4 linked regions of the Canis lupus familiaris genome follow. The protein of the gene in region 1 interacts with the protein of each later gene in a biochemical or structural test. Links are inferred from orthologs where the notes say so. Each region holds a gene or a part of one and is shown on either strand. Other genes may lie near its edges.

Region 1 (7,673 bases):
CCCACTTGGCTGCCAGGATCAGGGGTTGAGGAATGAATCTGTGTCATATGTTTAGGAAGGAAGCATTGGTGCTGAAGACAGAAGCATACCCCACGCGTGTCCATGCCCTCTGCCAGGCACTTGGACCCTGTGCTCTTCCCACATGTATTGGGCCTAAATCTTAGTCCCCGAGGGATGCTGTCTGGGCTCTGCATTGGTGCTGGGTGGCTGGATGACACAGGCCTCCTCAGCTTCCTTCCTCGCCTGCCACTCACCATTGTCTGCGCCTGCCCTCCTCTGCCTTCCTGTCTGTTTCCAAGAAAGTCAGCCCTTCCTCTGTACACCAGCTCCCGACTTGTGCCCTTGGGCCTCCCTCCCTCCATGTTCTCCTCTTGTCCTGTGGCTTTTGGACTCTCTCCAGCTGCATCCTTTTTCTTGACTTACAAAAGACTCAGAACTCCTAAACTTTTAGGACCCACAATCCCAGCCAGACCACGGTCTCTGCTCTCCGCTGTTGTCCTGCGTACTGTTGTATGGATGGCAGTGAGTTTTGGCCTTACCAGTGTGGGTTCACATCTGGGTTCTCGTGGAGCCGCACTCTGTGGCCTCACCTTGGTTGTTTCCCCTTATCTGCCAAATGGGCATAATGGCCAATATGGAGAGAATGAAAGGTCAGCAGTCCTGCACAAGAGTTGCAGAATAAATGGCTGGTAGGCACCACTCCCCTCCTCCCCAAGGGAACCCTTGATCGCCCCCCACTGAGAGAACTGGTAGAAATGCCTGTCTGCATCCCTTTGGGAGTTTTGCCACCTCTCCCGAATCCATCTCCGACTTGCATCATGTCAACAGCGAGGAAGAACAACTATTTATTGCCATGGGTTGGCCAGTCGGCTGAGTTCTTGGTGTCCGTGACACCTCACATACCTGGACTGCTGGGCGCCTTGCATCCACACTCAGGAACCTGCGACTCTTCTGGCTTTTTTTCTTTTTCTTTTCTTTTTTTTTTTTTTTTTTTTTCAAGTAGGCTCCATGTCCAGTATGGAGCCCAACACAGGGCTTAAACGCACAACCCTGAGAGCAAGACCTGAGCTGAGATCAAGAGCTGGACACTCAACCAACTGAGCCACCCAGGTGCCCCTGTACTGACTTTTTGAACACCATCCCCTTTCTCTTCTCTTCCAATCGTTTCATATCCAAATATGGCAGATCTTTTTTTACACTAGCATTTTTATCTTAAATATTATTTTCTAGATTAAAGAACTCAAGAGTGGTACTTACAGCCATTTGTGAAAGAGGTTGCCCAGCCCCAGATGCAGGTCCCATTTCTCATGTAGCCATAGCTACCATTTTCTTGGGTCTGATTCAGAAAATTTTTAACCCAAATATAGTCATCTCTAGAAAGCACCCATGTTGTCTTTAAGTACTTCCAGTGTCACAGTGTATGTGTAGATCCATGAACCCTGGAGGATTACTTTGGGCAGGCAGCCAACTTTGTTTCTTTGCCCACCGTGGCCATTGAGTGACTGAGCTTCCCTCTTGTTGGCTCCAAAGCATTAGCCATCATTTGCTACCTGTCCGTCGTGTGTCGTTTAGACTTGTTCTGTTCTATTCCATTCATCTCTCCGGACATACAGGCCCCAATGTATCCAACCCTTTCGAACGTAACAGCTTAAGAACAGGTTTTTAATACCTGGCAAGATGAGCTGGTCCCTCTTGCCCTTCTTTTTTGAGATGATTTTCTTGTCTCTAAAGCTCAGTTTGTGGGTTTTGTCTTCTCCAGAGCTTTCCTCTGCCCCCCCACCTCCCACTGGGTCTCACACCCCTCCTTTCTCCAAACACTTATGTTACTTTTCAGGAGCACACCGTGCATTTATATTTTCTGCCTTTCCAAGGAACGGGTTTGGCTTGTGGCCTGGTCTGTGAGTGATTCCTGGGACAGGGTCCGTGTCTGTGCCTGCCTGGGCCACAGTGGCCGTCTGTGCATTTCGGCTCACCTGGCACTGCCCCTGCCCTGACCCTCTCTCCCCGCAGGCTACATTGGCGTGGTGAACCGCAGCCAGAAGGACATCGAGGGCAAGAAGGACATCCGTGCGGCCCTGGCGGCCGAGAGGAAGTTCTTCCTCTCCCACCCAGCCTACCGGCACATGGCCGACCGCATGGGCACCCCGCACCTGCAGAAGACCCTGAATCAGGTACGGCCAGGGTTTTGTGCAGGTGCGGCCCACCACAATACTGGCCTTGGTCTAGAGCCGGCACATGTTTCAGCAAAATGGGTTCAGTCCACACTGGATTCAGGGCCTGGTGAAGGGTGGGTGTTCATAGAGTCGCTAGCAGGGCTTTTATTACATTGCCGTTATTGTTGCTATTATTTCAATTATAATTAAATACTTGGAATTATCTAATCAACGTACCCAGAAGTTTTCATGCAGTTCCTGATATCGGTGACCTGGGTGATAACTGCCTGGCCTGCACTAAAGCAGGGTGGCCAGGAGGACCGGACAGGACCTCGGTAGGAGAGCTGTGGGGCCTGACCTCTGGGGGTCCAAAGCCCAGCTCAGCCTCTGAGCCTTTGTCCCCTGTGTATCATCTGGGAACTGTCACCATCCCTGCCCCCTAGGGCTGTGGTATCCACCAAGTACCCAGTCCACCTGCCGTGTGAAGCACAGCAGGCATCCAGTGGCAGCCACTGCACTGTAAGCATTGTTTTCCTACTATTCTTTTTTTTTTTTTTTTAAGATTTTATTTATTTATCTGACAGATCACAAGCAAGGGAAGCAGCAGAGGGAGAGGGAGAAGCAGGCTTCCCTCACTGAGCAGGGAGCCTGACACAGGGCTCGATCCCAGGACCCTGGGACCACTACCTGAACCAAAGGCAGACGCTCAACCACTGAGCCACTCAGGCGCTCCTTTACAGGGAATAAATTCACAGGGTTCATAAACAACGAGCCTGCAATGAGGCGCCCCCATCTGCCCCCCTTCCACCTGCAGGGCACTGTTATTCGCCTTGTCTGCATTTTCTGTCCATAGAAGCAAAAAGGACCTTCGAGAATCACAGTTCTCCCTTTCTTACCATAAATGATGACATAGTCATGGATGCCACACACACACACACACACACACACACACACACCAGGTCAGCACCATCTCTTGGAGCACTGGGCATATAGAAAGGAACCCTTCCTCATTCTTTTCTGTGGCTGTGTAATAGTTTCTGAACACATGAGTTGCAGGCTGTCCAGCCAGTCTCTTTAATTTTTTTTTTTTTTCATTTATTTATGATAGTCACACAGAGAGAGAGAGAGGCAGAGACATAGGCAGAGGGAGAAGCAGGCTCCATGCACCGGGAGCCTGATGTGGGATTCGATCCCGGGTCTCCAGGATCGCGCCCTGGGCCAAAGGCAGGCGCTAAACCGCTGCGCCACCCAGGGATCCCAGCCAGGCTCTTTAGAGAGTGACCGAGATGGTTTCTCATCTTCCTGGTCTGTAAAGGTTGCTGTTAATGTTAATAACATCATTTTGCTCATGTGGGGATTTCTCTGGAGAGTCAAATCCCTGATGGTGGCAGTTATGTAGCCACACTGTAACAGGCAGTGTCTGTCCTTAAGGCCGGTCCTGTTTTGTCCATCTGAGTTGCAAGATGTTCCCTCTGGATACTTTATGGCAGCTTCCTGGAAGGTGGAGGGCTTCAGAGGGAGAGTGGATGTCCTTCCTTTAGGCAGTCCATGGGGGCACAGTGGCAACGGGAGAGCAGAGCTCCATCCTTGGGGAAGGCGTATTTCTAAAAAATTTTTTTTAAGATTTTATTTATTTATTCATGAGAGACACAGAGAGAGACAGAGACACATGCAGAGGGAGAAGCAGGCTCCATGCAGGGAGCCTGATGCGGGACTCGATCCCGGGACTCCAGGATCACGCCCTGGGCCAAAGGCAGGCGCTAAACCGCTGAGCCACCCAGGGATCCCTGGAAGACGTATTTCTAATGTGGGAGTACAGACTCGAAATGGGTCCCCAGATAAATTCACAATCAAGCGTTAGGTAGTGGGGGAGGGGGGCAACCAGGGAAAGCTGGTGCAGAGCAGGGAGGCAGAGAAGGCAGCTGAGGGGAGCAAAGAGGACAGTAAGTGTCCAGTGGGAGGAAGCGGTTGGCCTGGGTGGACGGAGAGGAAGGGAAGTAAAACTGCCCTGCAGGTGGCATGGGCCTCCTCTGAGGGCTGGCAAGCACGCAAGGGGCCTAGCTGGCTTTTCCACGGGCCTGGCTCTGCCTCATGGCACTTCCTAGAGCTGTGCCCACCCTCCACCCCACATAATGAGGTGCTCTAAGTGCTCTAGGATGCTGTTGGATGCTGGAGTGAAGGGCTGCAGAGCATGTAGCCTCCACGTCCCCTTAAAAGCCTGTAGCTCCCACAGAGGGGTCTGTGGGCCACCCACTGGGATGAGGTCAGATTCATATAAGAGTGTGGCGAGCTGGAGTGTGAGGCTCCCTTACACCTTTTTTCTAGCTTGATGGTTACTTTATAAATTCTCTGTTGCAGGAGAGATGGCAGCAAGTGCTCCTTTTCACTCTTAGAGTATTAGCTGCATTTATAAGCTTCTGTTTTGTTCCCTCTGTCCCTCCTTCTCTCTCTGTTATATAGTAAAAGATAAAGTCGTACAGTCCAAATATAGTGAATATTCCAATTCCTCCCATCTGGTGGTGGATCCCTTCTCTAGAGGTGGCCAGAGTCACTGCAACTGGGCTTCCTTGTAGAGATACTCAGGGCCTGGAGAGGCCACTGTATCTGTATCATGCTCCCTCACTGCCTTCCTCTCCCTCCTCCCCATTTCCTCCCTCTGCCTTCTCCCCATCCTTCTCCCTCCTCCCCATCCTCCCTCCTCCCCACCTCCCTCCTCCTAATCTTTCTCCCTGTCCCCTTCCCTTTATCTTGCCTTCCCTTTCTTCTTTCCCTGCCTTAACAGCAGTATATTTACTATTCTCTCTCACTTTTTCTCTCACCAGCTATCCTGAGACTTATTCTCTAACATTTTCTGCAGTGCTGCTTCCTTTTACAGTTTGTGAATAATGAACGAATCCACCTGACTCCACAGCTAGAGAGGAGGGGGGTGGCCACAGAGAGCGGTCCCCTTCCCATTCACCTGCTCCGTTCTGGCCTCCTCCTGCATTTGTTTCCTGTGGAGCTTCTCTCTCTCTTTGTGCAACTAAAAATAGCATTCTTACTTTCTCCCAGTCTTTCACAGAAGGGAGCAAATGCTATGTACGTTCCTTTCATTGGGGAGCTGATTCTGTCTTAGTCTATAGGGTCTGTCTCCATGTCTCTACATCTGCCTGTTGTTCCGTGGCCCATGTGGACCGTCCCCTGCTGGCCAGTCCGTCAGTGCATCGGTCCTTCGGTGGCCTCCTGGGTGTCTCGCCAGAGCACTTGTGGGAGGCTGTTTTGAGTCAGCATATGTGTCGTGTGTACCCTGTGTCACGGACGCCCTGGTTGTCCACCCTACGAAAGCACAGTGGGCCGCTCACGGCATCTTGCTGCTGTGGGCAGCACATGCCAGCTCTCCTTGCCCCACGCACTAGTGGGACTCCAGCTGGATATTTCTCTTGCTTTCTATTTGAGACTGGGGGCAGTGCTGGGCTCAGGGGGGAGCATCTCAGCATCAGCCCTTTGCAGGTGCAACAGGTTAGCAGCCCCTTTGCAGCATCTCGCCTGCTAACCTCTGCTCTCTGGCCTCTCTCCTCCTGCAGCAACTGACCAACCACATCAGGGAGTCCCTGCCAGCCTTGCGGAGCAAGCTGCAGAGCCAGCTGCTGTCCCTCGAGAAGGAGGTGGAGGAGTACAAGAACTTCCGGCCCGATGACCCCACCCGCAAAACCAAAGCCCTGTTGCAGTATGTGTTCCCCTGAAAGCCCAACCCAGCTCTCCAGAGCCTCTGCCCAGCCACAGGGTCCCAGGTCCAGGCTGGGTGGCAATCCTCATTTGTCTCTCTGTTCACTTAGCCTAACATTTGTGGAGAGCCTCCTGTGTGCCAGGTCTGTCCTGAGCGCTGGGGTCCCCACAGTGAATGGAGCAGACAGCCAGCCCTGCCGTATGTGCTTAGAAAGGGGAAGGGGGAGGGATGGGACAGAAAATAAGCAAATAAGAAAACATGTAAAAAAAAAAAAAAAAAGAAAGAAAGAAAGAAAGAAAACATGTAGTGCATTAATTTTTTAAATTTTTTATTTATTTATGATAGTCACAGAGAGAGAGAGAGAGAGAGAGGCAGAGACGCAGGCAGAGAGAGAAGCAGGCTCCATGCACCGGGAGCCCGATGTGGGATTCGATCCTGGGTCTCCAGGATCGCGCCCTGGGCCAAAGGCAGGTGCCAAACCGCTGCGCCACCCAGGGATCCCCATGTAGTGCATTAAATGGCAAAATATTAACGTGGGGAAGGGGCTAGGGTGCTGGCATGAGCCTGAGGGGTGCCATTTAAAATAGAGTGGTCAAGAAGGCTGCCCTGAGACAGTGAGTCAGGCAAAGACCTGAAGAGGTCAAGGATAGGGCCCAGCCAGTGCAAAAGCCCTGAGGCAGGACTGCCCTACAGTGTTGGAGGAGGCTCTATGACAGAATGAGTGAGGGACAGAGTGGAGGAGGGGAGGGCAGGGAGGGGACAGAACCGATCATTCAGGTGTTTGTGGGCCACAGGGAGAAATTAGGCTTTTGCTCTGAGTAAGATGGGAGCCATGGAGAGTTCTGAGCAGAGGAGGGATGGCCTGATGGAGGAATCACAGGTGCCCTTTGGTGGCTGTGGAGAGGCCAGACATGGGGAACAGGAGTGGGAGCTTAGCCCTGTGTCAGTCAGCTCTTTCTGCTCTCTCTTGGAATTCTCCCCCTGAGTTGGTGCTCACTGTCCCAATTCAGAGCTCTGGGGCATTCATCACAGCTGTGCTGCTATGAGGTAGGGAATATGTGTCCCCACGATCCCAGGTTCTCTCTCGAGATTTTTTTTGTACTGCCTTTGTACTCCTGGTTTCTGGACTGCAAGGAACCCTGGGCACTTGGCTAGGGTGGGATCCAGAAACTCAGCTATTAAGGTAGACGGTGCTACACATGTGGCTTGTCCCCTGGACACACCAGAAGAACACCACCTGCAATGCCTGTCATAACCCTGCTTTCCCCCTCCCCGCGCACCCCCCGCTATGCAGTACTGCACGGTAGAGGGTACAGGGGTGAGAATGCTTTTATGCTCAAACTTAATTAGTGCTGTTTACTTTTTTTTGTTTTTAAGATTTATTTATTTATCCGGGATCCCTGGGTGGCGCAGCGGTTTGGCGCCTGCCTTTGGCCCAGGGCGCGATCCTGGAGACCCGGGATCAAATCCCACGTCAGGCTCCCGGTGCATGGAGCCTGCTTCTCTCTCTGCCTCTCTCTCTCTCTCTCTCTCTGTGTGTGTGTGTGTGACTATCATGAATAAATTAAAAAAAAAAAAAAGATTTATTTATTTATTCATGAGAGACAGAGACACAGGCAGAGGGAGAAGTAGGCTCCATGCAGGGAGCCTGATGTGGGACTGGATCCCAGGACCCCAGGATCACACCCTGGGCCAAAGGCAGGCACTAAACCGCTGAGTCACCCAGGGATCCCCTGCTGTTTACTTCTGTGGGCAAATTGGTTCTTGGGATCTGAGACATTCTGCACCTGCCCTCCCACCGGGTGTTCAGGGAG
Region 2 (8,227 bases), on another chromosome or scaffold:
AGGTATGCTCCCCACTAAGCAGGGAGCCCAATGTGGGGCTTGATCCCAGGACCCAGGGATTATGACTTGAGCTGAAGGCAGATGCTTAACTGACTGAGCCACCTAGGCACCCCTAGTTTTGCTCTTCTAATCATAAAACTCACCTTAGCTTAGCATAGTACTGTTCGGGGGGGCCTAGAAAAATCATGTTGTCTTTGAAATATTCAATGTAAAGTTCACAGGACCATTATTTTTAATAATAATAATAATAATAATAATAATAATAATAATAATGTAATCAGTCCCTCATTGGGCTCTGTGCTTTAAGAAGCACGGAGTGTGCTTGTCCCTCTCCCTCAGTCCTTCCTCACCTACTCATTCTTTCAAATAAATAAAATATTTTAAAACTATTTAAAAAATGTTTATTCTCCCAATTCATGAGCATAGAATGCTTTTCCACAAACAAAGCTAAAAAACACTGTGACTCCATGGCGAAATATTTTAACAACTTCCAAGCTTTCTCATCCTTTTTCTTCACAGAGGTACACCAATGAATCAAGACACATTACTGCTCAGCATATAGTACAGGGAAAGTGATCTTTTATTATTTATAATACAGCATGGAGATGGCTCAGTTGGTAGAGCATATGACTTTTTTTTTTTTTTAAGACTTCATTTATTTACTTTAGAGCTAGCTAGGGAGAGAGCCCAAGCAGGGGGTGAAGCAAGTGGAGTGGGACAAGCAGACTCTGTACTGAGCACAGAGGCCCAAGCGGGTCTCAATCCCACTTCTCCAAGACCACCACCTCAGCCAAAATCAAAAGTCAGATGCTCAAACAACTGAGCCATCAAGGTGCTCCTAGAGCATGTGGCTCTTGATTGTTGGGTCCTGAATTCAAGCCCCATGTTGGCCTAGAGCTTACTTAAAAAACAAAGAAAAAAAAATATGGCATGGAGTGTTTGTAAAACTACCAAAATATGTCACCCCAAGTGGTAGGTAAATTAACCTTGTATGGGGGAACCCTCTCTGTTTCAACTCTGAACATTTCATCTGCTATAAACTAGAGCAGAGACATCAATGAAGTGAAATTATTGATCAAAAAACAATAATCATACACTGTTGTGGTTGACAGGATTTAGAAGTCAAAACTGACCTGAGTTTGAATTCTGGTTCTTCTATTTACTGGCCAAATGGCTTTAGGCTATTCAATTTTAATTGTCCAGGCCTTAGGTTTCACCTCTACAAAGCATGGTAGTTACCTCCAACGGTTGTTTGACTTATTTTTTACTTTTTTAAGATTTTATTTATTTATTCATGAGAGACACAGAGAGAGAGGCAGAGACACTGGCAGAGGGAGAAGCAGGCTCCATGCAGGGACTCCAACGTGGGACTCAATCCTGGGTTTCCAGGATCACACCCTGGGCTGAAGGCGGCGCTAAACCGCTGAGCCACCCGGGCTGCCCCCAACAGTTGTTTTAAAGATTAAACAACACAAGCAAAGCATTCAGTACAACACCTGGCACAAAATAAGCATTCAATACGTGCTGGCTATTTTCACTATTATTTCTGCAATTTGGGCAGAGAACCTCTCTAAAATAGTTCCCAGGCCCATCTCACAGAGCAGCAAAGGGTTTGGTGACATGCAACTCTTTGAGCTTTAACACCTTTTAATTTCTGCAGGGGGCACCTCTATCATCTGGACCTGCCGGGTCCAATAACAGCGGCCACTAGTCCACAGGTGGCTAAAGAACATGTGAATTGTGTCTAGTCAGAACTGAGATGTGGTGTCAAGGTAAAACACACGTTAGATTTCAAAGATGATTAAAAAAAAAAAAAAAAAAAAAAGAATTGCCACGCCTGGCTGGCTCCATCCATAGAGCAGGTGCATCTAAATCCTGGAGTTGCTGAGCTCAAGCTCCACGTCGGGGTACAGCTTATTCTTTTTTAATTAATAAACAGACGAATGTATAATATCTCAATTTAAAAATATTTGATTATGGGTAGAAATGATAAATTTTGGATATATTGGGTTAAACGAAACATTGTGAAAATTAGCTTCACGTGCTTCTTTTCACTTTTTTTTTTAATGTGGCTACCAGAAAATTTAAAATTAAGTGCCTCGCTTTGTATTGAGCAGAGCTGAGTTGAACACCCCGCTACTCAGACCTTGGACGAGCAGCCTGGGGAGCTGGTGGGAAATGCAGAGTCTCAGGCCCCGCCCGGACCTGCAGAATCAGCATCTGCGCTCGTACATGATTCTGAGGCGATTCTCACGCGTTGCTCCAGTTTTCCGCTGTTCATCTTAAGAGGGCATATCTGGCCGCATAATCACGTAAATGCAAATACCTTTGCTTCACTGAATAAGCAAAGTGAAGCAGGAAAAAAAGCGGTGGCAGAGGAGTATGAGAGAATGAAACACTAACTTAAATTATAGGAATAAAAAGAAAGCAGGGGTGGGTGTGCAAAAAATATCCAACCTGGGAGATTCAGGGGAAGGGAACTTCCCGACTCTGGCTTCTATAAATGTAAAGAGAGATGCAAATGGAGATAAAACCCACAATCAAAACCTGTAAGGACCAGGAAATGGTCAAGTCTTTCCCGCCCCTCGGCGGCCTCAGCTAAGCTAGGCCTGGGCCCAAGAGGGTCTGGGGTTGGGGTGCAACGCGACCCACCACTCACCCCAGGGCTGCACGGTTCCGCGAGGCGTCCAAAGTCCAAGGCCCCGCTTCCAAAGACACAGAATCCAGGTCCGGGGACTCACCTGCCTCCGAGGCGCCCCAACGGCCTGCGTCTTCGCCACCGCCACCTTGGAGTCCTACTGCAGAGGGCCCGCCCCCGCTGGCCCAGGCGCTGCTCCCATTGGTCAGGCCTCTCGTCACTTCTGGACCGGAGGCTGTGGAGAACGCCATAGCAACCGAACGCAGAACTACATCTCCCAGAATGCCCCGCCCGGACGAGACGCCCCGGGGCTACCAATAAAAGGGCGAAGTTGTAGTCTCACGGATGGGTTCCGTTTTATGCAAATTTCTATTAAAGACCACACCCTTCCTCATTCCAACCGTTTGCCCTACCGCCTTCCTTGGGCAGTGACCCGCCTCTTTTTCCGCCTCCACGTTGCTCTCTCCCTTAAAACCTTTTGTAATTGACTTAGGTGGATACAGCTTAATAAGTGCCTCGCAGGACAACGGACGGATGCACCCAAACCGGTGCAGCTCCAGAAGGCGGGTCAGGGAAATCCCAGTCCAGAAGGTTACGCCTTCTGGGAAGGGGGCGGGGAGAAGTGACAAGCGCCCGCCCACCAACCCCCTTTGCGCGCTCGCTGATTGGTTCACGTGGCTGTCACTCCGTGCTCTTCCATTTTTTTTTTAGTTGCCCCCGCCTCGTTCCCGCGGTGGGCGGGGGCAGCGGCAGGGGGCGGTGAGGAGGCGCGAGCGCCTTCTTGCGATTGGCGAGTGCCGGCTCCCACCCATCCGTGGGCGGAGATGGTGGCCGGGACGGGGGCGGGAGAGGCGGCGGAGGGAGATGAGGAGATAGGTGGGAGCGAGGGAGCGAGGGAGGGAGCGAAGGAGGTAGAGAGGAGCGGAGGAGAGGGGAGGGAGCGCAGCTTGGTTGCTCCGTAGTACGGCGGCTCGCGAGGGAGAATCCCGAGCGGGCTCCGGGGCGCACGGGCGCACGGGCGGGCGGGGATGGTGTGCGGGGCTGCGGCTCCTGCGTCCCTCCCCGCGGCGAGTGAGCTGCACTGATTTGTCCCTGGGGCGGCAGCGCGGACCCGCCCGGAGATGAGGTGAGGAGCAGGCTGGACCGGGCGGCGGGGGCGGCGGCGGCGGGGGCGGGGGCGGGGGCGGGGGTCGGCGCGATGGCCGCCCGGGGCGCGCGTCCCTCGGGCCGCCCTGCAGCCTTCGCCCGGGAGGCGCGGCACCCGCCGCCCCTGCGCGTCGTCCTTCCCATCCTCCCGGGGGCGGCGGCGGGGCGGCCGGTGGGGCGGCCGGTGGCCGGCGCGGGGAGGCCGGGACGCCGCGGCGGGCCGAGCGGGTGGCGGCGGCTGCACGGGCTGCGGGCTGAACGCGCGTCCGCAGCCCCGGCCGGCCGAGCGGGGCGCCTCCGTCCGCGGGGGCGAGGGGGCGTCCGGGCCGAGCCTCCCGGGGACCCGGCGCCCGCGGGCCTCGAGCCCCCGGCTCATCCCCTCGTCTCCGTCGCGCGCCGGTGAAGGGCAGTCAATGCCGCTCGGCCCCGAGGCGCCCCGCCGGGGGTCCCCCTCCGCCGCGAGCGCGCGTCCCCGGGGTCCGCCGCTCCTCCCGGCCGCCGCCTCGCGGTGCGGACCCCGCGGGGCCACCGCTGCGGTCCCTGCTCGCCCCAACGACGACCTGGGACCGGGATCCGCAGGAAAAGGAACCCGGCCCATGGGGTGCACCTTCCTTGACTTCTCCGTCTGCCTCGGGATTAGAAAACAACTTCGCAGATAACATTCCCGACGGGCATCTTTTGTTGTGATTTCGGACTGGAGACGGGCTTTGCTTTTGAAGAAATAAATTCGCGTCTTTTCAGAATTAATTAATTAATTATTATTATTTTTTTGATTGCCCCGCTGAGTGGGAGGCGGTGGAGATTTCTGATAGCCCCTTAATATGAAAGTTTCCCTTAGAACTTTGTCATCATCACTGCTATTCTGAAGACAGCACCAGCCTGAAATTTTAAATATATGCGCACTCCGGACAGATGCCGTCTCTTTGTGCTTATCCCCGGGCATCCCGCTCTCGCCGTTTCCGTGGTCAAACGCGCAAATGATAGAAGCAAGCACAGTAAAAAAGGACAGATAATAAAAACAAATGCATCTGGGAAAAAAAAAATCTCAATTCCGTTGACGGAGAGAGGCAATGTCACTAATCCCTTTGAACGGATGAAGAACACACAGGCTCAGAGATCTCATGCATTAGGCAGTGGACAGGATCTGAGGTTAGGAACTGGGGCCAGGACCCAGCAGGCCAGCTGGTTCGCGAAGTGCCACTCTCAACCCCTAAAATGGGAGGGATGTATTTGCCTGGATACCTTTATTTTTAGCTGATGTAAGGTTGCAGAAGCTTAAATTTCTCTCTTCAAGGTTAGGATTTCTACCTGTTTATCTCTGCAAACAAAATGCTGGGTTTTTTCTTTAAAAGATTTTTTTTTTTCCCTTCTAGTTTACATGACACATTTATGTTGCACTCATGGTGTTTGTTTTATAACTAAAAATGTACGTCCTTGTAATATCCAGGGGAAATTTTTTTTTTTTTTTTTTTTTTTTTCTGTAGGAGGTTGGTAAAGAACCCAGGAACTTTTTTAGGTAATCTAAATTGGAAATGAAGGGACACTAATTTAGTGGTGGCATTAAAACTATTTAAAAAGCATTTCTGATAGAATTTTCTTTTAAATGGCGTTTCTTTATCTAAGAATGTGTTGAAGTTGCCGAGGCACATGGCACCTTCACAAAACTCTATGATTATTATTCTGCCTGAGTAGGAGAGGAAATGAACAAATTTTTGATGTACTTTGGAACCCTGTGGATTGTTCAGATACTAAGCATTGTGAAATAGGGCATAAAATGAGTAGTAGCAAGTTAGTTCCCTGAAATGTTTGTCCCTCTTAGCATTTTTTTTTTCAATTTACTAGAAATTTCCTTTTTCTTAATGCTTATCTCTTCTGTTGGTAGAACTCAAGTTCATCTTTTCAGCAAATGCCTAGTTTGAGGAAAATTCAAATATCCCATAAGATGTTAAGGGGGAGGTGCTGGTAAATTGCTCCATTCTTACTCATCTTTTTAATTTGCTAGATTTGTGAATGACACAGAATTAATTACGTGAGGGTTGGGTTTATGTTACTTGGTTCAGGTTTCACTGCCATAGCACTAGTCTCTTTGGAATGATCATTTTCTTCTGAATGGCTCCACTTACTGGTGGGTTTCTCAAAGTCTGGACCTCAGATCATTTAGATCAGCATTAAGTGAGGTTCTTGTTAAAAATACAGGTTTTTTTTTTTTTTTTTTTTTTTTGTCACCTTACTTCAGAATCCGATTCCTGGAGATGGGACCCTGGAATCCGATTTTTAAACAAGTTCTCCAGGAATTTCTCTTGGAATAGAAAAGTTGGAGAACAGCTGGCCCTGTGCTTTCCTTCTCCTAAGACCGTCCCCTGAAGTGGATAGCAGATTTTAAGTAGCAGACTAAGTTTTATACCTTAGGCTGCTAATAAAAAATGGACTACGGGGATCCCTGGGTGGCGCAGTGGTTTGGCGCCTGCCTTTGGCCCAGGGCACGATCCTGGAGACCCGGGATCGAATCCCACATCAGGCTCCCGGTGCATGGAGCCTGCTTCTCCCTCTGCCTGTGTCTCTGCCTCTCTCTCTCTCTGTGACTATCATAAATAAATAAAAATTAAAAAAAAAATTTTAAAAAATGGACTACGACTTTCAGATATATAATGCACCTAAAATATATGTTTCAGAAGAGCAGAGATTTTGGCTCATCATTCTATCTCCAGTGCCTAGAATAGTGCCTGGAGGAGCTCCATTAAATATTTATGAGTGGATAAGGTTGCAATGAGGCCACACTTTAAAACCTTTTCTTGTAAAATTAATATTATTACTTAGTCACGGATTTTATAAATTAGGAGCTACATGTACTGTGCCCAGTCATTTATGTAAGTTTGTTTGGCTCTGAAAAGGGAGAACCTTTCCCAAGAATAGAAGGCACAAGGTGATTAAGCTGAAAAGAAGGCTTCTATCAAAATATTGTTTAGAGACTAAAAACGTAAATTTAGGTCCCCATGTAGTGGTGGGTTACTATTTAACACTATCTCAAAATGCCACTGGTATGCTATGATAAACCCAACATACTGCTGTAAAAATTGGTTTACAGAAAATACAGAAAATTGGTATGTTTTCCAATTTCATTTTTCATCCTAATAAAGTATGACCTTCAGTCTTTCTTTTCAGAATCCAGTGTAGTACCCCATAAAGAACAGTTTCTGTTATATAGTTGAGGGTGCTGAATAGTTAGGAGTAAAATTTCTACAGGGTATTGGGTTTGACCACACACAATCTGTGACTTTGATCTGGCCCTTAACCTTTCAATGTCTCAGTTTTTTCAGCTGAATGGGAATAATAATAGTAGGTTAAGTTTAAGTACTTCAAATGTTTACATAAATTCTTGAGATATATTCATGTACTAAATGGTAATTATGATGATAAGGAGTTCGAGTATATAAAAATATATAAAACTCAAACTAATCCATTTAATTTTTGTACTGCTGCACTTGATGGTAGAAATCCATCTCTTGAAAAAAAGAAGTCTCTTGCTAATTTCTTGATACTAATTTTTAATTGGATAACTAACTTTTTAATTGGATATCTAATCTTTAATTGGATAACTAACCATTAAAAGTAATAAACCATCAAATATTGTGTAAATAGGTATTTTTCTAAATAAAGATAAATCTTGTCATCGCTTTTAGATTTGTTGTATATTTTAGAAGCAAATTGCTAATCAGTTCATTTCCCTTGTATTTTAAGGAATTGCGTCTTTATGGTAGAAAGAAATCGAAATAGCGAAAAGTAAAAACTTCAAAATACTTCTATATCCACTACCTCAGTACCTATTTCTTCAAACCCTCTTTTTTTGTGGGTGCATGTGGCTTTTTATATACAATTTTTGGTAACAAATATGGGCCCTGCTATACATGATTATTTTGTAACTTTGTTTGGCTTAACCTCTTATATCATGAATCTTTCCATGGCTATATCGTCAGTTGTAATAGTTTAATAACTGAATAAGATTCCATTTTATGTCTGTGATCATTTAACCTATTTTTTTTATCAGACATTAATTTTCTTTTTTCTCCCGCTGTTAAAACTCCGCAGTGACTCTTCTCCTACATGCATCTCTGTGTATACTTGGGAGATTTTTTTTTTTTCTGTAGGATAAGTTTCTAGAAGTGGATTTGCAAGATCAAAGTACAGTGCATGCAAAGTTTAAGATTTTTGATACATGTTGTCATTTAGAAAGGTTGTAGCAATATACATCCTTACAGTGGTGGTTGAGAGTTCTGTTTTCTTCCCTCCCTTTTTTTGGAATGAGTTAACCAGTGACAAACCTAGTGAATTATTATTTTTAGGAAGAAGAAAGGGATGTTAATGTGATGTGTTCAGGAGTATGATCTGGAAAGTCAGAAAATTCATGCACTGCTAATAGTGATAGCTAACATTTAGCAAGTCCTT
Region 3 (8,425 bases), on another chromosome or scaffold:
AGACGTGTATGTGACACGGTCTCCCAGCCAGCGGGCCGTCTGTCCCCCCAGCCTGCATCCCAATAGGAGCTCGGCCCTCAGCACCCTGGCCCTCCGCTGGCAGCTTTATTCTCCGGCTCTTCAGCCCATTGTCTCCTTTCCTCCTGACACTCTCCTTACAGACTACTTATTATCGTGGTCTCACTGTGTCATCAAGAGACAGTCTCTCACCATCGAGGCATTTAGACTACTGACATTTAAAGTGATTATTGATTCGATTTGGCTCAGGTGTAACCTCCTGCTCTTTCTTCATTTGCTGCACCTGTCTTTGGTTTAAGTTTTTTCTTTTTCTTTTATTTAGATTTTTGATAGTATTCCTTTTCACTTTTATCACTGGCATATTAGCTATTTATTCATATATGTTTCTTTTTCTCATTTTTTTTCTTTCTTCCCGATTGCTTTCAGGATCACAGTATGCACCTGTGCCTTAACACACTCTGACTCTGCCCCCTGGGGGGGGGGGGGTCCCGTCCAGATCTCCCTCCTGTTCTTTGTACTGTCTGTCTGTCTGGTATGTCTGCTTTCTTGGTATTATAAACCCCACAATACACTGCTGCCGTTCTTGGTTTAAAAGCCAGTCAGCTTCAGGAGTGTCTGGGTGGCTCAGTCAGTTAAGCATCCAGCTCTTGGTTTCATGGGTCATGGGGTCATGGGATTGAGCTGCTTGAGGCTCTGCACTCAGCAGGAGTCTGAGGATTCCCCCCCCCCGCCCCCCCCCCCTCCCCGACTCGCTGCCTCTCTTTCTCAAATGAATAAATAAATCTTAAAACAAAAAAAAAGTCAGCACACCTGGGTGGCTCAGCAGTTGAGCATCTGCCTTCGGCTCAGGGCGTGATCCCAGGATCTGGGATCAAGTCTCACATCAGGCTCTCTGCAAGGAGCCTGCTTCTCCCTCTGCCTATGTCTCTGCCTCTCTCTCTCTGTGTCTCTCATGAATAAATAAACAAAATATTTAAAAATAATAATAATAAAATAAAAGTCATCTTTTAAAAATCATTTTCTTTTAGGGAAAATAAACAATGAGAATTTTTTATATGACATTTGTTTATGGTCTGTGTGTGTGTATTCAGGTTTCCGTTCTGTGTCATTCTCCTTTGATGAAAGAGCTTCCCTTAATATTTTTCGTAGTGTCAGTTTGTTGGTTGCTCTTGGCTTTTGTTTGGCTGAAAATGTCTTTATTTTACCAATAATCTCTGAAGGATATTTTGCTGTGTACAGAATCCTAGGTTGATGGTCTTTGTTACTTTTTAGCACTTGGATGTTGACTCCTGTTGTTTCTGGTCTTCAGTTGCTGTTTCTTTGTATGTCATGTATCTCTTTTTTTCCCCCTGTGGTTTGCTTTCAGGACTTTTCTCTATGGCTGGTGTTCAGCGACTTGATTATGACGTCTCTTTGTGTATTTGTTTTGTGTGTGTGTGGTTTTTTAGTGTGTGTATGTGGGGTGTTATTCTAAGGGTTCTTGAATTGGTGGGTTTCATCAGGTTGGAAAATTCTTGCCATGACTACTTCAGAAATTTCTGTACTACCTCCCTGCCCCTCTGGGATTCCAACACACCTGTGTTAGACAAAGGCCCTGCCCCTGTGTCAGCCTCTTTTCTTTCTGTTGCTGTTTCTTTAGGTTCACTGATCCTTTCTCCTGAAGTGTCTGATTTTCCATTGAGCCCATCTGGTAAACTTTTTAATTTCAGAAATTGCATTTTACAGCTCTGGTCATTCCATTGGAATCTTTTTTTTATATAACATCCATTTTTCTCATCATCATCATATGTTCCTTTAAGTCCTTGAACATATTTATAGTAGCTGTTCTAAAGTGTCTGCCAATTTTATTATGTCTGTCATTTCCTGGTGGTTTGTAGTGATGGATGTTTTTGTCCTGGGTCACATTTTTCTCTTTCTTGGCTTGTCTATTAATTTTTTTTTTATTAATTTTTTTATTGGATAGTGGACATTGTGTTGGCATGTTGCTGAGTGTCTGGATTTTGTGTTCTCCCTTTAAAGGTTGTTAAGGTGTCTTTGGTGGGCACTTAAATTACTTGTGAATCAGTCCAGTTTTTTCAAGACTTATTCTAAGTTTTGAGGGGGCAAGAGGAGTGTCCACAGTAATCTTATCCTAGGGTGCTTTTAGCCCAACCCCAGCCCTGTTGGGGTTGCTACCATGAATGCTTTGGATGTATTCAGTGAAGCTTCTCCACTCTGGCTTGTCACAACTCCAGCCCTGCCTGACCTCAGCATTTTCTGAGCTCCCCTGTAATTGTTGTCTGCTTTGTCTTAAAGAGTTTTACCCTATTGTGTGCATCTTAGTATCCATCAGCAGGCTCAAGGAGACCTTGGTGCAGATTTCTGGAGCTTTTTCTTTGGGTAGCTGCTTTCTGAGAGTCTGTCCTCTGTTGCTGAGCCTCCTGGAGTTCTAGGCTCACTGTCTCTTCACCTTAGCAGGACCTGTGCTTTCTGCGTGGGGCTCTCTGCTTGGATTCTTCTCTTAGTGGTTGGTTCTGAAGGTGCCTCCAGGCAGAAGGTTGGGGCCATCCTGGGGTTCACTTCATCTGCTTCCCTTCTCTTGGAGTTCACTGTCCTGTTCTGCCCTTTTGCTCAAGATCTGGAAACGGTTGTTTCACGTGTTTTGTCCAGTATTTTTTTTTTTATTTTTTATTTTTGCTGTATGTGGTAAGAGGGAAAATCTAGTACCAGTTCCTCCACTGTGGCCTTCTACTATGATTCTGATCTTGTTATTTTAACTACTGAAATTTGGTGTGTGACTTAATGTACTAGTCTTTATCTTCTCTGTTTTATTTGGTCTGTACTATAGCCTCTTTAATTCCACTTTTAATAGTTTAATCCTTCCAAGGCCCTCAGTGGATTCAGGTTATACCAAGACAATGATACTGGAGTTCTAGGGCACACATTCATTTTTGTCATCCTGCACATACTTGGTGTTTCACAGTTTATCTGCAAGGTCGCCAGATAACAGTGGACTGCATGATGGCTCAGATCCTCTTTCCTATACCTTTCCCCAGTGCACAAATGAGCTCTGGGAATCTTTGTATTTAAGAAATACAGATTTAGGGGAAATTTCAGTTCACGTGAGGAACTTAAGGCACTGAATGTAATACAATATTTTGACAGATTCCTTTGTGATGACTATTTCTCTTAACTTTCATGAGATCATGTATTTTCCCCCCCCAAGTGGGAGTGTTGGAGTTCTCAGTACAAAGTAATCAGTGTAGTAAAGACTAAGTAGTACTTGCCCACCATGATTATTAGCACTAACTGAAAGGGGCTAATGGCTGAAACAAGAATTTATCTTACAGGACAGTTTAATCTGAACAAAGTTTTCACTGTCATGGGGAAAATAAATATTTCAAGGTACTTTGTGCCATTTTAGAAACTATGCTGAGTTTGTATTAAAGAGCTAGATGAAATGTTGAAAGATTTTAACACGGTCCTTTTTTGTTTGTGGCTTTGAAGTGCTAAAAATAAGGTATTGTCATTCTGTATTTCTGAAGTCATAGTATGTTTCAGGTGCCCTTTTTTCAGTGGTTGCAATATGTTTGGGATGAGTTTATTTGTACTTTCTCCCAAAATATCCCCTTGAGATTTTGGGTGAAACTGCAGTATATAGACTGACATCTTTATGGTTATCCCTTTGTTCTCAGGAATGTGATATGATTTATTGATGTGCCTTTCTTCACTAAGGTTCATCATGCCCATGGTTATCTCTTGGGCTTTGTGGTTTGGTTTTGTTGCTATTGGGAATGTCCTCCCAATTGTATTTTTTTTTATCAAGTTATTATTTACAGATCAACTTTTGATTTTTGCCAGTTTATCTTAGACTTGGTTTTCTTATTGAATTTTCATTATCCTATTATTTTTACAAAAGATTGGGGTTGAGGGACTCCCTGCAGATTATCCTCCACTCTGCTGTCATTTCCCACCTGCACACAATACTACATATACACAGGGGTGGGGGGCAGGGGATCGTAGACTCTGCTGGGAGGTGGGGCTGGTTCTCAGGAGACCTGGTGAAATAACAGATTACAGAAACACCTTCTGAGGGAATAAGTAACCCAGTACTCAGTTTTTTGTCTTGAACCCCAAGGCTAGTTCAGACCTCTTGGTAGGCTGGAAAGAGGACAGTTATGCTACAACTTTTAGCCCAACACGGAATGTATATATAATGTTCAAGTGACCCAGAGGTCGTGATAACTGACATTTACTGGGCCCTTTGTGCCAGTCACTGTTCTAAGCATTTCGCATTAATGACTTCATTTATCACTTGTGTCACAAGGCACATGCTGTTATCCTTATCTTATTCTGGAGGAATTTGAGACAGTCTTGAAGGAATTTGGCCAAGTTTAGAAAGCTGTTGAAATGGTAAAGTAGAGAGTTGACCCTGCGTGGTCTGGCTCCAAAGTCAGCTCATCGTCACCATGTTGACAACGATTACATTTCCTTTCCCTTGTGTGTGTGTGTGTGTGTGTGTGTGTGTGTGTGTGTGTGTTGGGGAGGTGGGGGTGAAAACCATTATCAACACCCAGTGCTGGGTTGGCAGGGGGGCAGGGGTGGTGGTGGCAGGCAGACCTTGTTAATAGAGTATGTAAGTTTTCAACCGTTGTCTTTAGAATTTGGGGTACTGTTTGCTTTTCAACTTTCTGCCCCCTTTTAGTTACATGTGTCCTTTTATAATCAGGAAAAAACAATAAAAGTATTTTAATTTAGGGTGGGGGTAAAGTTACCTTCCTAACCACAGCTAAGTTGTCTTGGGCTTTGCCTTAGAAGTTGCAAAGTGGGTTAGTAACCTTGCAGCTGTGTTAGAGAACAAGGTAGATGTGCAGATAGCAACAATCCTAAGATTAAATAAAACATGAAGCGTAGAAGAGCATAGGTACCGTGGTGTTTCTAATTGGTTCTGTGTGTGCAAACATGTGTGGCAAATGCATGATGTTTGAAGGCTACTTTCAACTCTGTTAGAGTTTTGTGCCCTTTGCAAGGGGGCGGGGGGGGGGGGAGAGAACATTTTTAAACTTTTCCTTCTCTAAACATAATTGTGTTGCTTTTGTTGTTGTAAAATGTATTACATATATATTTTTGTGCAATGAAAGTGACAGTACTCAGAATGAGAGCTCCAGAAAGATGTAGCCTTTAGTACAGATTCTGTTGGCCTCCCAGTCCTCTTGCACTTTGGAGCATTTTGTGTTTTGTTACAACCAAGGAAGCATTCCCCAATAGATTGTGGTATTTTCAACAGGTTCTGAGCTTCCTGGGTGGAGGTACAAAACCATGATTTCAATTTTTAATTTTGTTGACCAGGGGTACATTTATATTAGTTAAAACAACAACACTAAAATGGTGCAAAGGGGATGATTCTGGAAATTCTTCTCTTATCTGTCCCCTCCCCCAGCCAGCTGGCTTCTCTCCTTGGGGCTATGTTACTGGTTTTTTTTACTGTCCTTACAGAGATATTCTATGTACATACAAGCAGAGGCATTTCCCCCCTTTTCTGCACAAAAGGTATACTTTGCTTTATTTTCTTAACGCATTCATTAGAGATAATTGCACTTCTGAAAAATGAGCAAACCCTCATTCTTTTTTGCTGGAGCATGGTGCTCTGCTTCCTGCGGACACTCTATTTTGTACCAGTCCCTACAAAACAGTGCTGCAGTGAATACCCTTTGATGCGCGTCACTTTGCAAACATGTGAGTATTTCTAGGGGATGAATTCCTAGAAGTGGAATTTCTGAGTAAGAGAGGATGTGTGTGTAATTCTGACAGACATTACCAGAATTGCCTCTCACTTCATCTGCACTATAGGAATAACCTATTTCCCTGAACCTACGTCTTCATCAACATGATGTTATGAGTTTCATTTTTGTTTCCTTGCTATGCTGATAGGTGAAAAAATATTTGTTTAGTTTTAGAAGTTATGTTTTACAATTTTTAGAACCATCTTTTTTTTTCCCCCTTTAACTGATTTGTAGTTAACTCTGTAGAGTAGGGGAACTAACCTTTAGTCTGTGATATGAATTGCAAGTGTTTTTTTTACTCATTTGTCATTTATTTTTATCTTATTTATATTGGCTTTTGCCAGGCAAAGCAGGTATGTTTTATTTGGGTGAAGAGAAATTTCACTCTCCCTCCCTTTTAAGAATATTAAGATTCTGTTTCACATTTGAAGTCCTCTTCTACTGCAGGATTATTTTTTTTAATTTTCCTAAGATTTCCTTTGGTACCTTTTATAGTTTCCCAAAAAGCCTTTTCTCTTATGGGGAATGTCAAACATTTCCAAAACAATAGTATAACGAAGCCTAAATGCCCATTACCCAGCTTCAACAACCGTTGACTCATTTGGTCCAGACCCCATCCCATTCCTCTGCTCTTGCATTATTTCTGAAGAAATGCAATTCTTCATCAGTAAATATTTTTGTGTATGTTTCTAAATATGGGTAGTCCTTTAAAAATATAACCACAGGGGTGCCTGGGTGGCATAGTCAGTTGAGCCTCAGACTCTTGGTTTCAGGTGGGGTGGTGATCTCAGGGTCGTGAGATTGAGTCCTGCATCTGGCTCCTGCTGAGAGAGGAGTCTGCTCAGGTTTCTTTCCTTCTGTCCACTGCCCCCCTCCCCAACCCTGTGCCTGTGTGCTTGCGCTAGCTCTCTCTCTCTCTCATCAGTAAACCTTAAAGAGATGATTTATTAAAAATAAATAAATAAAATTATAACCTCAATACCATTTTGATACCTAAAAATTGAATACTTTTAAGTATCACATAACTCTTAAATATTCAGATTTTCAGTTTTCATATTATAACCTTTTTTGCATTCTGTTGGACTCAGAATCTAAATAAAGTCGACGTATATTGCAGTTGGGATCAATTTCCTAAATCTCCTAGTTTATGGGTTCTCCTATTCTACTCCCTCCCCCAACAGGCTTGTTTCTGTCTTTGAGATTTGTTAGAGAAAATGGATTCTATAATTTACTAGATCTGGGCTTTTCTTTTCTTTTCTTTTCTTTCTTTTTTTTTCTTTCTTTTCTTTCTTTCTTTCTTTTTCTTTCTTTCTTTTCCTTCTTTTCCTTTTCCTTCTTTTCCTTTTTCTTCTTTTTCTTCCTTTTCTCCTTTTCTTTTCTTTTCTTTTCTTTCTTTTCTTTTCTTTTCTTTTCTTTTCTTTCTTTTCTTCTCATGAGATAGACATAGAGAGTGGAAGAGACTTAGGCAGAGGGAGAAGCAGGCTCCTCACAGGGAGCCTGATGCAGGACTCGATCCCAAGACCCCAGGATCATGACCTGAGCTGAAGGCAGACTCAACTGCTGAGCCACCCAGGTGTCCCACATCTGGGTTTTCTTATCACATACTCATTGCATAATTTAATATATTCCTTTATCTTTCCTATAAATTGGTATGAGGATCTAAAGTGGCCATAAGATGCAATCTCTTTTATCTTTTCAAGTATTTTTCGTAATTGGCATTGCATTCCGTCAGAAGGCAAATGGTTTCTGGCTTTTGGAGGTACTATGCTTAGATGCATTAAATTATTAGGGATTGAAAATGATGTTCTAGTTCTATTATTCCTTTTTCATCTATTTCATTTATAAACTGTCTTCAAGGTTCATCCACATTTATGCATGTTGCAGATTTTCTTTTTTTTAAAGCTGAATAATACTCTATCATATATGTATGTATATACCACATTTTCCTTACCCATTCATCTGTCAAAGGACATTTAGGTTGTTTCCATACCTTGTCTATTATGAATAATGCTACAGTAAGTATGGGACTGCCAGTATCTCTTGAGATCCAGATTTCAGTTCTTTTGGATTAATACTCAGAATTATTGGGTCATATGGTAGTTCTATTTTTTAAATATTTTAAGAAAACCCATATTGATCTCCATAGTGATTGCACCATTTTGTATTACCTAGAATATTTTTATAAACAGACACTTATCTATTACTTGATTAGTTAGTGCTACAATTTGTAAAGGAGGGGCAGGATAAATGCCTGCTTTGTTTTACCTATATTTACTGGTTTTCAAAATGCATTGGTTCCCTAGTATCCTATAATAGTGACCAATTATTTTTATCATTTTTAACTCACAGATTTAAATAAATTTGATGTTTCAGGCTACTGTAATCCTTGTCCTTATTGACGCTTATATTGTCCCTTCTTTGGACAGCAAGGTCCTCTGCAAGTTGGAGCCTGTGTCTTTTTGATAGGGTCATAGCAGGTTTTGTTAGTGTCTTAATATCTGAAGGAAAAGATTCCCTGGCCCATCTTTGTATACTGTGTGTGGGTTTTGTTCTTGTGTGTTTGTTGTTTTTTTTTCTTTGAAACCTGAAATCAGCCTTTTTTTAGTAAATCTGATGCCATTTGATGAAAAATGCGATTTGACGAT
Region 4 (7,673 bases), on another chromosome or scaffold:
TTAAAGAATTACCAATAGTCAGAAGATGAAGAATGTTTCTGGTGATCCATATAAAAGTTCAGTTGCTTAAAGTACTTTGTCAAAATATAGGTCAGACTGATTTCAGATTATAAAAAAATATCACCTAAAATACATTTAGAATTGAGGGTTCAGTGTAGGTTAAGGTGTTCTATATTTTGAAGTAAAGGTGATACTTTCTTTCAAAAACTAATTTCAACTGAGATTGATAATTATAGCATAAGTACTGTATTGGGCATAGATAATGTAGTTTAAAAGCTGCTTGTATATTTCCAGTACATTATTATTAATAATAATTTTAGGGAAGACAGAGGGGCAGAGGGAGAAAGAAAGAGAAAGAGAAACTTAAGCAGGCTCCATGCCCAGTGTGGAGTCCAGCATGAGGCTCGATCTCATGACCCCGAGTTTATGACCTGAGCCAAAATCAAGAGTCTGATGCTTAACTGACTGAGCCACCCAGGCACCCCCTCTAGTGTGCTAAATTATCATTTGTGGCTTTAGAAGTTATATTCTTTTGAGTTATTTCAGCATCATAGTCATGAGAACTTCTGACCACTCATGTAATAAAGTCTGCTAACTGGTTTTGAAGTTCTTGCTCAGTCACACCTCTGGCCCTATCAGTTGATGACCACCTTCTTCCAAGGTGTTTACAGAGCCTTTATGTGCTTATCACTTAACTGCTTTGCACTGACAGGGAAGATCTGTTGGATGTATCTGGACTTTCCCACCACCTAGAGACTATAGGTTTGTGTTTAGGTAGAACAACTGGTATCCCACCTACCTACTGAAGAGGAATGCTATAGGCACCAGAGATGACCTGAATCACAGTGCTCCTTGCCTACAAATAGGGCCCCATTCCACCCCCAAAACTCATGGGACAGCATTGCCTTTGCCGACGTGGAGGACAATATTCAGTGAGATAACAACCTAAGACACAAAATGAAGAGTAACTAAGGATACCTAGAAGACTAGAACTGAAATGAACCCAGTATGTCACTTGACCGAACCCCTTTACATTACAGATGAGGCTGAGTGGGGACAAAAGATTTTCCATGCTATCAAACTGCCTCCATGCTGCCTGAAGTGAAAAATCAATATTCACTTCTTTATTAACAACACTAATATATTGACAGCATGGAAAGCATAGGGAGCAAAGACTCCTTTGGTCAGTATCCCTTTTTTCCTATAAGAAATCAATAAAATTAGCCAAATCCTACCTGGAAATTTGTAGCCAAGAATGAGATTGTTCAGTGAGAGGTGTGTGATCTTTAGAAGGATTCCTGATAATGTGGCTTCTCCTCATGGTACTGGCATTTTCAAGCATATGGATGCTTTTTATCCTTAACTGGTGTGGAATCTACAAAATCAAGCTCTGAGCTGTGCATCAGGGGAAGCTCTGTCATATGTGTTGGGGCAGTAGTAGTTGCCTAAGGATGGTGACCTGGTAACTAAGGTGTGATTCCCCCCTATTGGCCTGCAGATCGAACAGGTGAGCCAACTGTCTGCGCTTGTCCAAGCCCAGCTGGAGTACCACAAGCAGGCCGTCCAGATCCTGCAGCAAGTCACCGTCAGACTGGAAGAAAGGTATTTCAGTTCCTGTATTTTATATTCCTATTTTCTTCCTCTGGAATTATGGGTAAAGAAACAGAAATAACAGCAAATTTGAAGAAAAACTTCTGCCAAAATTCCTGCTGACCCTACATTGGCACCTTGTGGATTGTTTGTTTTGATGTTATTGTGTCTTGTGCTTTGTTTTACATTGTTCCATGGAATTTATTCTTGTGTTTATGAGAGTTCAGTACTTGGATTGTGTGTTGGCTGCCACAGATTGGGAAACTAGGATGCTACCAAGGATAATGCATGTGATTTACTGAGCAGATATTCTCTGTAGGCACTGAAGGCTTACCATCATCAGTCATCTAACAGTCCTATAAACTAAGTATGATTAGCCTTACCTACAGGTGGAAAGGCCCAGCGAGATAAAGTAACTAGCCTCAGGTCACACAGTGGTACAACTGGGGTTTGCCAGGCAAGCATAGCCTATTTGAAAGCCAGTTATCTTTTCACACCATTTCCCTGAATGGTGAGCAGGTCCTCCAGCATCAGAGAGACAGCTTTCCTATGCCTGTTCCTCCTCCTCAGAAGCACCCTGCAGCCGGGCATAGATGTGTTCCTTGTGATTAGGCCTCCCCATAGTTGCAGGCCACTGCCTGACACCTGTAGGCAGAGGCCCTACACTGTAGTACATGTCACTTTGTGCATCTTTGGTCGATGCACCCTTGTGGGAATGTGTGTCCCACTCTGAAGCTTCTAGAAAGATTTAAACCATGCACTTCAACATACTAAAGAGATATTATTATTTGCCTTTATGACATCTGTTGAGCAAAAAAGGCCATTTTCTCTTTTTCCTCTGAAACATGTTAAAAGTCCGTATCATTCTGTAATCACCATATTTTAACCTCTCCCCATCCTTGCAAATCTGCTGGACACTCTACTTCATGAACATGAGACTGTGAATGGTAGTTGGAGTGCGTGGAGTACATTAGTTGGCCATACCTTTCCACTTTCCTCCTATCTTCCCTCATTTCTTTCCCACTTCTTGCATCTTAAACTGCTCACTGTTCTCAGGACACATGATATTTCCTCCTTCCAGACCTTCTCAAGCTCTTAAACTCTTTCTTCTGGAAAGAACTGTTCATCTGGAAATGACTCTAAGCTGTCTTTTCTCCCTCTCCATAGGCCTTTCTGTGGGCAGGTAGACTCCTCCCCACTCCCCATCTCCATCCCCATGTCCCCGTAGCATTCTGTGTGTCTCCATAACAACACTCACCACGGTTTATGGTTTACGATCCTCAGTTTACCTTCTGTCTCCCTTCCAACTATAAGCTGCTTGAGGGCAAGAATGGTGTCGTATGCGTCTTCATGTTCAAGAGTGCACATTTGCAAAGTGAGCTCTGAATAAATAAGGAAGAGGTGAGGGATGGAGACAGGATGAAGAGGGCAAGGATCTGACCACAGAGGGACATCACAGAAATGTAGAGACATACACAGAGAAGGTGGCTTTGCATTAGGAGCTTTCCTGGATGTTAATTGCTTTTCTGTTTGCTTCTTAATTGGCTCCATGCTCCTATTCCCCCCTTCCTTGTCTTTTTAACACAGAATAAGACAAGCTTCATCTCAACCTAGAAGGGAATATCAGCCTAAACCGCGAATGAGCCTGGAGTTTACAACTGGAGACAGTACTCAGCCCAATGGGGGCCTCTCCCACACGGGCACACCCAAACCTGCAGGTAAGTTGCTGAGACCTGCAGACCCCATTACACAGGCTGTGGGCACATGCCGTCGATACTTTTCCAGAAATTCTAGGTGCAGCCTGGCTGGCTGCACAAGAAACTATACAGTGATACATTTCTTACAGGATGGTTTTGTCATGTAGAAGCTCTTTTAAAGCACTCCATCCTTATTTTCCCATTGATCATTTCTTTGCCTCCTTTTCCCCCTTCTCTCCTCTAGAAATGTCCCTTTTTCTCTCACCATTATCAGCACCCATTAACCTTCTAAGTAACACAATTGATTTTGACCTCTCTTTGTGGTTTTAATTTACCATAGGTGTCAGGGGTGTCATCTTTCTTTTCTGTTTCCCCTGTGTTCCAGCCTGCTTGAGGGTGAATGCCCTGGCAGGGTGTGCCCACATGCACTCACATATAACCCATAGACAGCAACTCCAGGAACATATCAAACTGGATTTCTTAAGTCACTGGAGCCTATGGGTGACTGTACGTATAGACAATATATTTTGAATATCAACATCAGCTAGCTTTCCCTCCTTCCTCCACCTTCAACCAGTTCACTGTACCCTGGCAACTGAGGTTGGTATAGTAAAAGCTAAAATTTATTTTCTATCAATATCAATAATATTGATGTATACCCAATAATATGTTTTTTTAGTTGACACCATTGCTCTCTACCCCGTATAATACAGATTAAGGAAAAGCTTGTGCTTGAGACATTTTCAACCTTAACAATTTGTTTGGTTGAAGAAGTGGAAACTGTCTTACACTGGGCATGGACTTCAAAGAAATAAGAGTGTCTCCTATTTTCCCTGTGACCCACTGCTTGATGTTTGTAGTAGGAAATGTTTTATGAAATGCTCTCTGGAGACCAGGAAATAAAATCGTGAGCTCTGTGGTGGTAGTTGGCACTCTCCACCCTTTGTGTTCACCTAACTAGTTGCTTGAAGCTGCCCAGGGTAGGGTATAATCAGCAGTGGCTCTTACAAGTTAGCTGGCTCCGAGGACTAATCATGTAAATTGGGATTAGTTTGCTTCTCCCTATTCAGAAACCAACCACATATTTTACTCTTCTTTTGGAGACTTGGTCATTTTCTGCTTTCTTAAAGTAAAAAAAGAAAATAGATTTTAATTTAAAGTCATCAGACATGGGGGCAATATGTACTTGTCTGAGTTTACATGCCCATGTGGATGCATGCTTTATTAAATATAGATGGTCATTTAAAATAGATCACTTTTAAGATACAATTCCATTCCTCATTATCTTACTGAAGGCAGAGCGTGTTATTTTTGTGTGCCAGAACTCCCATGTACTCATCCTTATATATGCAACAGTTTACAAAGAGTAAGTTATATAATTTTTACGTAATTTCACTTGATAGCCACAATAGTATTACGGCGTAGATCCTATTAGTTATAATGCTAGGCAAAGAAACTTGAAAGGGAAGTACCTTGTATAAAGTCACCCAGAGTATGAACTCGAACCCAGTGTCTTATATTGTTTTGTTTTCACCACATTACAGCAGTTTTCCAGAGGCTGGAGTCTTTACTTTTGAAAAATGAGGACGCACAGTTATTCTGAGGTTGCTAATAAGCATTGTCCATGTAATGAACCTGACTCTTTCACATGTACAGAGATTTTAAAATGCTAACATTGAAAGCATTCTGACCATGTTCTAGTAACCTAAATTCCATCAAAATTCCTTAAGTCACTGGGTCTCCCATCTCTGGACATTGTCAGGAAGGCAAACCTTGGTGGACTGTGTTGCATGTGTCACCAGCATAGATGAGGCCGTTATTCATACTGGAAATGGAAGCACATATCCAGCCACTTCCAGGAATCTGAGAAAACTTCCAAAGACTCGTGAAGAGCAGATGCTATGCAGTGGACTGGGGACTAGCCTCAAGAGGAAACTTCAGCAGGAAGAGGAGTGAGGGAGGAAGCAAGGAGGATGGCGGGCTGGAAAGGTTAAGCAGGTGGTAGACTTGTGAGTTAAATGCCCCTTGTCTTTCTGTATTCTTCTCTCCTGCTTTCACTTCCAGGTGCCCCAATGGATCAGCCCTGCTGCCGAGCTCTGTACGACTTTGAACCTGAAAATGAAGGGGAGTTGGGTTTTAAAGAGGGTGATATCATCACACTCACTAACCAAATTGATGAGAACTGGTATGAGGGAATGCTTCATGGCCAGTCAGGCTTCTTCCCCATCAACTATGTGGAGATTCTGGTTGCCCTGCCCCATTAGGATGTTAGGCTGGCAGGCTTACCTCCTCTTGACCCAGATAGTTAAGTTTAACCACTGCTTTGGTAATGCTGCTTACAACACATCCCAAATGCAGGCCGCAGTGGTCCAAGTCATCAAGCCCCACCGAGTTATCTTTGGTTGACTTGTGTGATCCCACAAGAGTCATGGTGATGGGTGGTATCTTCTTAGGCTGGCGGGCATGGCATGTGCTTTTTAAACACCATCTGAGGCCAGCCAGTAGTCACTGAACTGTTTACACGGTTCTCAGGAGACTGTGGCTTCTTAGAATATGACCATGAGCCACATCACAGTAAAACCATGCTACTGAAGATATTATCTATCACCCAGGGGCCATCTCAAGGTCTCAGGTTCTCCATTTCAATAGGAGAAAGGTCCTGCTTTCCCATAGTCCCCTCCCAAATATGCAAGTCACAGAATTTTGGAAGAAAGCCTCCCTCACCAGCAACTTGTCTTCTGGTCTGAGTTGGTCCCTTGATACTATCGGTAGGAAAATGTTGAATGTGAATTGAAAATCTTTTCTGGAAAAAAGTCACCTTTCTTCCTCCCACTTATGCCTTTTCCTAAGGGACAGCCAGTTTTCTTCCCTCCCTGCTAATAAAGCCAGAGGGGGACTTCCGCTATATTTCTAAGTAAGACAGTTAGCAGTCAGCATATGGTAGGAGGGGCTGAAGAGAAGAGATTCTCCATTATGAGGAAATGGGAAAACATCTGGTTTCCAAGCTTGCATTTCCTGCTGCAGAGAATTCACATATGTAGTTAGGATATTTCTGAAGGTACAGGGAAGTGGGAACAAATACCTTCACTTCAGATTTATTTATGAATTACATGCTTCATGAGTCCATTTGGCACAGAGACACAAGGATAAAAACACAAGAAACCATTTTTCCACTAGTTCATAGACCAAGTTAACAGTAACTGTCTTTCCTTTCCACTTCCACCTTGTGTTCTTCGAACATCATTTATGCAGATTCTGCCCTCAATGAGGACCAAATAAAGATAATTTTTGTGCTTAGCAGTTTAAGATGTATGGCTGCATATGCAGAAGTTTTTCCCAACTCAGTCATTATTACTTTTCTTTCTGTCCTTTTATTCCATCTTCATGTTGTATGTACAGTGCTATGTGTAAGCTTATGAGTGGTTTTCTATTTTGGGGGTTGTCTTTCTTTTTCTTTTCTTTTTCTTTTTCTTTTCTTTTTCTTTTTCTTCTTTTTCTTTTTCTTTCTTTTTTTTGTATCAGTTCTGAAGTCTCATTAGGTATGCAGAGTTCTATTTATCTAGCTGTACAGATTCCTTCCGAGGTTTCATGTGCTGCTTCGGACGTGCCACCTGCGGTAGTGGGTCATGTGGAGTGAAAGGCAAATCTTACCGCTTAATGTATAAACCTCTTACCACAGGAAGCATCGCCGTTTCCAATAAATATTGCTGAAGACAGAACCAAAGGCTCTGGACCTTTATTTTGCGTCAGTTTTTTGGTGATCTCATTTCAGTCTCTGTTGCCTTCTGATGCAGCCAAACCAGACCTCGTTCCTACCTCAGATGTCCCTCTTTGTCACCAAGGGAAGTTTTGTTAGCAAGAAGGCAACTAGCCTGGACACCAGTAACTCCTTGGTAATCCTAGGAAGAGGGTGATTTGGGAGACAGGATAAAAGAGGTGGGAATGGAAGTCTTCTAGAAGTTACATGAGATATAATCAGTGGCGATATCAAAAGGATATAATGTTCAGAGGCATAAATAAAATATGCCATTTCAAACAGTCTTTTGTTATTTTTCATGATTAAAGAGAAAGAAATAGGGAAATATAGATTGGCCAAAGCTAGCATTCTTTTCTCTGTGTGTGGCGAGTGGAGAGGTGGGAGTGGGGATCCATGCCTATAGAATATGTTATTTCCTGAGCTTCTGAGAAAATAAACATGTTTTTTATGTATTGGGTACCCTTTGTGTTCTTCCATTCTGAGGCTAACAGTCCAGATGTTCTGATCTAACACGAACAGTTTTAATCTAATATACAAAGTTCTATATGTGAGCTGCTCTAACATGAAAATGATATTTTTGCCAGCTACATGAGTTAGATTATTACAGATAAATTCTTAACACCAGTTTT

What was found.
Region 2: the proteins of DNM2 (region 1) and ITSN1 form a complex in vitro, tested with the Homo sapiens proteins (2 studies listed by BioGRID and IntAct, with this or other methods). The link is inferred for Canis lupus familiaris from reciprocal best matches to the Homo sapiens genes DNM2 and ITSN1.
Region 3: the proteins of DNM2 (region 1) and SNX9 form a complex in vitro, tested with the Homo sapiens proteins (2 studies listed by BioGRID and IntAct, with this or other methods). The link is inferred for Canis lupus familiaris from reciprocal best matches to the Homo sapiens genes DNM2 and SNX9.
Region 4: the proteins of DNM2 (region 1) and SH3GL2 interact in a biophysical measurement, tested with the Homo sapiens proteins (2 studies listed by BioGRID and IntAct, with this or other methods). The link is inferred for Canis lupus familiaris from reciprocal best matches to the Homo sapiens genes DNM2 and SH3GL2.

What each region holds. Positions count from the first base shown.
Region 1 is NC_049241.1:50,828,892-50,836,564, reverse strand, and holds part of DNM2 (dynamin-2), read left to right. Parts: intron 1-2,010; coding exon 2,011-2,171; intron 2,172-5,716; coding exon 5,717-5,859; intron 5,860-7,673. UniProt on the Homo sapiens protein: Catalyzes the hydrolysis of GTP and utilizes this energy to mediate vesicle scission at plasma membrane during endocytosis and filament remodeling at many actin structures during organization of the actin cytoskeleton.
Region 2 is NC_049252.1:28,827,917-28,836,143, forward strand, and holds the start of ITSN1 (intersectin-1), read left to right. Parts: upstream 1-3,531; 5' UTR 3,532-3,764; intron 3,765-8,227. UniProt on the Homo sapiens protein: Adapter protein that provides a link between the endocytic membrane traffic and the actin assembly machinery. Acts as a guanine nucleotide exchange factor (GEF) for CDC42, and thereby stimulates actin nucleation mediated by WASL and the ARP2/3 complex.
Region 3 is NC_049222.1:47,865,059-47,873,483, forward strand, and holds the start of SNX9 (sorting nexin-9), read left to right. Parts: upstream 1-4,278; 5' UTR 4,279-4,407; coding exon 4,408-4,410; intron 4,411-8,425. UniProt on the Homo sapiens protein: Involved in endocytosis and intracellular vesicle trafficking, both during interphase and at the end of mitosis. Required for efficient progress through mitosis and cytokinesis. Required for normal formation of the cleavage furrow at the end of mitosis.
Region 4 is NC_049232.1:37,821,604-37,829,276, forward strand, and holds the end of SH3GL2 (endophilin-A1), read left to right. Parts: intron 1-1,498; coding exon 1,499-1,602; intron 1,603-3,177; coding exon 3,178-3,308; intron 3,309-5,351; coding exon 5,352-5,551; 3' UTR 5,552-7,006; downstream 7,007-7,673. UniProt on the Homo sapiens protein: Implicated in synaptic vesicle endocytosis. May recruit other proteins to membranes with high curvature. Required for BDNF-dependent dendrite outgrowth.